2 linked regions of the Nothobranchius furzeri genome follow. The protein of the gene in region 1 interacts with the protein of each later gene in a pairwise test. Links are inferred from orthologs where the notes say so. Each region holds a gene or a part of one and is shown on either strand. Other genes may lie near its edges.

What was found. The genes of interacting proteins can lie anywhere in the genome.
Region 2: the proteins of mid2 (region 1) and neuronal migration protein doublecortin interact in binary tests that used the Homo sapiens proteins (3 or more experiments, as listed by UniProt). The two-hybrid records come from large-scale screens. The link is inferred for Nothobranchius furzeri from reciprocal best matches to the Homo sapiens genes MID2 and DCX.

What each region holds. Positions count from the first base shown.
Region 1 is NC_091741.1:89,376,264-89,380,280, forward strand, and holds the start of mid2 (probable E3 ubiquitin-protein ligase MID2), read right to left. Parts: upstream 2,801-4,017; 5' UTR 2,664-2,800; intron 1-2,663. UniProt on the Homo sapiens protein: E3 ubiquitin ligase that plays a role in microtubule stabilization. Mediates the 'Lys-48'-linked polyubiquitination of LRRK2 to drive its localization to microtubules and its proteasomal degradation in neurons.
Region 2 is NC_091750.1:46,837,301-46,840,818, forward strand, and holds part of neuronal migration protein doublecortin, read right to left. Parts: intron 2,758-3,518; 5' UTR 2,695-2,757; coding exon 2,331-2,694; intron 1-2,330. UniProt on the Homo sapiens protein: Microtubule-associated protein required for initial steps of neuronal dispersion and cortex lamination during cerebral cortex development. May act by competing with the putative neuronal protein kinase DCLK1 in binding to a target protein.

The sequences.
Region 1 (4,017 bases):
TACCATCCAAACACCCCCACGTAGACATGCACTCACTCACACACACGAGCAGACCCACGCACTCACAGTCTCATTCACTCACTCACACACACTGAGAAAAACATTCAACCTCAACTCATTGAAGCTGCTATAGCGGTAACAAATAGCAGCAGCTGTTACCTGTTTTGTTGGTTTTTATTTGTGGCTCATGCTGGCAAAATAATTCTGAATGCGCACATGCTGATTATGAGAGTTGCCGAGAGCCGAAAATGTGAGAGAGCGCAAATTGGCCAAAGTAAAAATGTTAAAGATAATGTCACGGCCGTCGTAGACACTATTCCAACATTGTTGAAGTTCTTGCTAAAGCAAAATGACAATGAACTCTTGATTGTAAAGTGTAATACCTCATCCTGTTTGAACTTATTTTCTATACTTCATGCTCCTCCAGATTGTTGATCATATAGATATAAGGTGCGTCATCTACTACTACAACAACTTTATTTTAGAATTTTTTTTAATAAAATGTGTTCAAATGAAGAAATGTGTGTTTATTTCATTGAGATACATACATTAGTAATACTCAAATTGCTATAGAAGTCAAATAATGGGGAAATAATCGATAATCTAATCGAATTGAAATCTAATTAAGTTGACAGATTAGTTAGAAGCATCGAAAAAAGTATCGCTAGATTAATTGATTACAAAAATAATCCTTTTGTCCAGCCCTAGTGTGGACACTTGGCCTTGCAAAGGACCAAGCTAGGCCTTGCAGCTCAGAAACAGACCCTAGCACCTTCTTAGGGTTCTACAACCCCCCAAGGTACTTCACAACACAATCAGTCATTCACCCATTCACACGCTGATGACGATGAGCTAAAATATAGCCATAGCCACCCTGGCGCTCACTGAGGGAGGCGAGGCTGCCAAACACAAGCACCACCGGTCCCTCTGACCACCACCAGCAGGCAAGGCAGGTTAAATGTCTTGCCCAAGGACACAACAGCAGCAATCTCTGGTCAGAGCCGGGATTTAATCTGCAGCCTTCTTATTACTGGACAACCCGCTCCACCACATGAGCTACTGCTGTTGTGTATTTTATGTGTGTATTTTATGTGTGTATTTTACATATTCATAACCTATAAGTAGTAAAGCATCTTTCTTTAAGCGTTATCATCTCAAGTTAACAATCAAAAACTCAAATAATCAAAACAAATAAAAACATGTACTTTTTTAAAATCTTACATTGTTTAATATTTACATGTTTCTTTGGTAAAAGGCTGATCCTCCTTTGCTTTGTCCGAGAACAGAGTTCCAGCTTCAGAAACAAACACAGAGATAAACAGATACCTGGCTGAACTATTCTAGGAAGTCAATGCTTCAACTGCAATGATTTCCAACCCTCTGTCACAACTATAATCATCCCAGCGTGTAGACACCAACACCCATTCCTCCCCACAGAAGGGAAAAAACCCTCACTGCTCATGTCATCATTATAAAGTCTTAATAATTATCATCTGAGGGTGCAGTGGGAGAGCGCAGGAGTGAAAGAAAGCCTGAAAACGAGAGAAAGAGGCAGTAAATGGATAGAGTGAGAAAGTAGGCAGCACCCTGTGGGTGCCTGACGGATGAGGGTGTCAGCTGTATTCACCCAACTAGCAGCCTTGTCTCAGAGAGTGTCAAGCCCCATGCACAAAGACCTGTCTCATTAAAGGCTGTGATCATCCAGCAACAAGAGAGCAAGAACGATCGGGCCCATAAATGACTTTTTAGAAGCTGGCGAAACACCAGTTCATTAAGCACAACGCTCTACTCCATGGCTGATCGACATTGACCACCCATATGGAATGTGTCCTCTTCACATTAGGAAAAGTTTATTTAATAGAGAATTCATCATCTAAACATAAGAAATAGAGAGAAGCAACACTCGACATTGGACCCCGCTTCCCTGCATTTGTATTGTTTAAAATTGGTGCATTATTAATGAGGGGGGGGGAATGTTAGACTCAGCTTTTTGGAGGCCAAACTCAAACCAGCTTTTGTCTCCTGTCACCAGCAGCATTACTTCAACAGTTAAAACACTGGAGCCAACACAAAAAGGTAAAAATCCTATTTCAGTGATCAACTACTTCATCATCCAATAACATCTATAGTTTTGTTATTTACATAAAAATACAACATAAATTTGACAGTTTTGACAGTAAAAGTCAATAAGTATCATCCACAATGCGCTAACAGCAGGGTTCAGCTCAGGTCATGTCATCTCAATCAATACACAATGTCACTATTGATCAGTGCAGGGCACTTGGGGGAAAACGATGAATAGAGGTTGCTAAATACATCCTAATATCACTGTAGACTATCTAACACATGCGCAAAGAGATAATTACTACTAGATGTAAAATTTACCACTAATGAGAAATTTGCTTGAGTACATTTGCTGATTAATCTGAGACGTTTTTCTGCATCAGTTGTGTGCACTCACACACACACACACACACACACACACACACACACACACACACACACACACACACACACACACACACACACACAAACACACACACACACACACACACACACACACAAACACACACACACACACACACAAACTGCTTACCCGTCCAGCTCCGGTTCTCTCAAGCCCAAACACCCCGAGCCCCCATAGGAAGAGACAGAAAGCCTACCTCGGTCCCCGGTGACAGCTCTCCCTCTGTGTTTCTGGAGGTCGACTTGTGGCAGGCGCTGACAGGATGGTAGTTTTCGTGAGCAGAGAAGTTTCAACGAGGCAGTGCCACAGTGATCACACGCGTTGTGTCAGCGTATCAGCAGACACCGCGTGACAACGCCCCAAAACAACAACAAAACAACTGATGTGGATCTTCTGGACCCGCTTCTGAAGGATGTTGCTTTTCCAACTCAGCTGTGCGCAGCTGCGCGCTTCCTCCTCCTCTCCCTCCTGACGCGGTTCCCCCAAACCAAACGAGGGCACGTGACCAACCCACAGGGGACTGGAATAGATTTCCTCACCCCTCCTCCCCCTCCAACAGTAGCAGCTGGGATCAGTTTCACCGCTGCTCCAGTGGCCGCGCAACAAACCCGAGCCGTGCGCACCCACACTCTTCTTCCACACATCATCCCGCCTCAGCGTCTGTCGCTGTCAGGATTATAGCTTCAAATTTAAAATGATCAGTTGAACAAATAAAGTGAATAAGAAAAAAAACATTTTTTGGCTTGTAAAGTTGGATGAAACGAACTGATCACGATTCCGATTTAAGCGTCCTAGAAGAAACTTTATCTTTATAATAAAACTGTTAGTTTTACTGGGTCAAGTGGCTCCATAGAAACAGCATCGATGTTTGAACCTATTCAGTAACAGATGAGTGAGGTTGAGACCCAAACAAGTGATACACTAATATCATCACCATCCATAGCCCCTGCGTCACAGCTTCACCTGGAAAAGGAGAGAGCGGAACGGGAAGACTGTCAGGAATTCTGACAGTTTTTGAAACCATTTTTTCAGTTAAAATTAAACGTTGCCTATCGAATTGATAAAGAGGACAAAATATAAGAATCTCAGAAGAATAACAACTAGCTGATTAGTACACTGCCCAGCAAAAGGCAAGGCAGCTTTATTTAGAGCACATTTCAAACACAGAGGCAATTCAATGTGTTTTACAATTATCAGGACATGGTATGAAAACACATAAAAACACAAAGTAAAATACACACAGATAGAATTACAGTTTAAATGATAAATGACCCACACTTGTACAGCACCTCTCAGAGTAAGGACTCCAAAGCGCTTTACACTACAATGTATCATTCATCCATTCACACACACATTCATACACTGATGGTGATGAGTTACGATGTAACCACAGCTGCCCTGGGGCGCACTGACAGAGGCGAGGCTGCCAAAAACAGGTGCCACCGGTCCCTCCGACCACCACCAGCAGGTAAGGTGGGCTAAGTGTCTTGCCCAAGGACACAACAGCAGAATTCTCTGTCCAGAGCCGGGATCAAACATGATACCTTTCG
Region 2 (3,518 bases), on another chromosome or scaffold:
CCAGTCGGCAACATTTAGACCTCCAGAAACCATCGAGGACATCTGAAATTACATCTGTGCTCATCCAGATAAGCTCCTTTAACTTCATTAAAACATTAATTTGACCAAATTCACAGAAATAATCATCACAAATAAACTCCAAATAATATTCTGGTTGATTTATTGTCTGAAACTAAAACAGAAGCAGGAGGATCAGGATAAGGGTTATTCTAGCAGAATAAACCTTCAAGTTTAATTTGAAATAAATGCATCGGATGTTTTCGGAGTTCCTTTCATCTCGAGGACACCTGCCCGTTTGTGGTTGAATGACCATAAATGAAAAGCAACCCATCCTTGATTCTAACCACCTATTTTACTGTTGTCCACTTTTATTTCCATACCGCTCGTTATTTTGCTTATTCCCTATTTTTGTAGGCCTGCTCGTGTCTAAACAAATCCATGCTGGCTCACGTGTCAGCAGCTTGCCATATTTAAATGTTGTGCTTTCTCATAAATGTGAAATCCTGATGAAATCTCATTTAATGCATCACATTTTTCCAGCTGATTAGAAAAGAGATCCCAGCCGCCCACATCCCAACATTTCCTCTAAATACGAACGCTGTGCGACACGCTGCTGCAGGGAAGGGCAGAGTTTCCTCCAGGCAAAGTCATCATCTGTCCACAACTACATTTATATTAAACAAAATATCTGATGACCATTTGATTTTGAAGGCGACATTTTCCTGTTCCAGACAGAAATACGCCCGAATCGTCATAACAGCAGCTGACCAGACTTATTTCAGGTTTTGACCGACAGCTTTATTCACTTTAGATGAAATAATCTAGACCATCTATGCTCACACCCACCTTTGTTTATTTCTACACAATAACCTGAGAAACATTCACTTTCAGCTATTAAAACTGCCATTTATGGCAAAAAGGGTTCATTTCACTGGTTACATTTACTGATGTGCTGCAATATTGATAATGCAACACCATCTATGTGTAATATATATATATACATACATGTGTGTGTGTTGAGTAGCCCTGCATAAGACTCGAGAAATCTGGAACATAACATGCAACACTTGTATGTATTTGGGTTTGAGCTGACAGGAGTAAATATGTCCCACGAGGACACGGTGTGCAAATTAGCTCAACATTTTCTGCCTTCCAGCAAACGCTGGCCTTAGAATACAGCAGAGACACGTCGTCACATGTCAACTCAGTCTGGTTGGAGTTTAAAGCTTCCATTGATCGGCTGGATTTGATTTGCATAAAAATACCCAGCATGCACTCTGTTTTAAGAAGGATTTTCAGTCCTCCGACTATTGAAACATTTATTTTATGTCTTGTCAAATACTCAAAGCTGGTCTTGATCTCTTTGTTCGGCTTTGCTGCAGGTTGCTTTGGTTTGTTTTAGAGATAAATTCAGCAGGGAGACAGAAGGAAGGAGGAAATTCTCAAAAGGAATCCAGACAGCAACAATTAGTCCAAATGAGGAGAAATTACAGCAAAGACAAAAGGATCACAACCGGATTACAGTCTGCAGAGGAGATTGAGCAATTAATTACACGCTACAAGAGGAAGCAGAATAAATGACCCCCCCCCCCCACACACACACACACACACACACGACATTGTGACATCATATGGTACCAGCTAACATTCTACGGTACCTCTTAGCCAATAGCGATGGCAGATTTAAATTCAAATACAGTGCAGAGTTTTTACCTAACGGCACAACACTGACAGTTTTAGGCAGAAAATTAAATTTTTAATTAAAATGCACTAAAGTGCAAAACTATTGATCACACGTGTCTGCAGCACGATTAGACACACATTTATATAGTTTATCAGGAAAAAAAAGGTTGATTAGAAGGTGACTCTTTAATGGTCTGTTCTCATGGTCAATATTACCTCTTTGCTGTGATTTTACAGAGTTTTATGCCTTTAGGCAAAAGTTCAAGCAGGTTTGGGTTGTATCAGTTGCAATAAATGATTGTACGGCCACACCTTCTGATGTGACCATTATACAGTTTTTAATGATCATTACAGTTTTTATGAACAGCTGATTAAAAATGTATGTTTTCAGTAATGCAAGAAATTTTTGTTTTTGATGATAAATCCTCAGGTGAAACAAAAATACCTAAAAAATGGAAGTTTTATTTCTGTGTAAAAGTCCTGATGCCACGGTGTTCAGAGGACTCTGGAGGACGATGATTAGAGTTTTATCTGAGGACATGAACTACAGATGGTCTGTCAGACCGTCCGTTGGGCCGTAGGACCACCTCAAACAGTTAAATGCCTGAAGGCACGACTGTGGAGGCAGAAAACAAACATCATCTCACCTTCCTCCAGCTCATCCAAGGTAGAGATCTTGCGTGAGCCGTCAATGGTGAAGATGAAGCGGACGCCCTGCGGCAGGTTGATGTGGTCGGCGAGTGAGCGTGTGAGGTCAGCCAGGAGGGAATCGAAGGTGCGGAACCGGTCATTCGCCACGGCGTACACAATGCCCTTAAAGTAGCGGTCTCCGTTGCGGTAGAAGCGCACCTTCTTGGCTTTCTTCTCGTTGGTGAGAGCCTGCAGGGTGCGTGTGCGGTAGAAACTGCAGTGGGCACTGTGCGTGGGACTGGGGAGTCCATTCATGCGTCCTCCCCGTGGAGTGCGGGATGTCTTGTCCCGTTCATCAAAATGTCCAAAGTCTAGCTCCATGATGGCTTATAGTGATGGTGGCTGTGAAGGAAAGGGATGAGGTGGCGATCAGTTGTGGAGAATCTGGGAGAGGAAGGAAACAGTAATCCATTAGGACGACAACAAGCCTTTGGTTCGCTAAAAAAAATACAAAAAATGAACAATTCAAGCCATCAGACCACAGCAGAGTCTAATCCTGGTCCTCCGGGCCACCATCCTGCATTTGTTTCTCTGCTCCAACACACCTGATTCAACCACCACTTCAGCATCCCCCAGTCAGGTGTCCTGGAGCAGAGAAACACCTGCGGGTAACCCTAACCAATATTAGACACCACAGATGCTAAAGATGTAATATCAGAAACACAGATGTTCTATGAATCTGTCCAAAAGAAGATGATCCAAGATTTCATTACATCAGAAATCATCATCTGTGATCCTGGTTCAGATCAAAGAAACGCCCATCTTCTCTGGACTGAAGCTTTTAGGAGCTGAATTCAGGCGAAGCTGAAAGCTGCATTTTGATTTAGGAACACATCCTTTCTCAGACCAAAGGGAAAGCTTTTGCTAGCAGAAGGATGCAGAGAAGATGTAGTTTGAGAATCTGAGTTTTAAGAAAAGCTGCAGCTGCTTATTTCAAGACATTGTCTGCATTTTCTTTTGAAAAATCCCTCCATTAAAGAGCTGAGCTGGCCTACAGGAAGTTCCACTTTGTTCTTTACATGAACATATCTGATGAATGAATAAGATCAGAAAACAGCCGACCACCCAGGACTGTTATCACAGAGCACATTCCTGTCCTGAAAGGCTCTCTACATATTTGGTTTAGTTGTAAAAAGTTACACTAA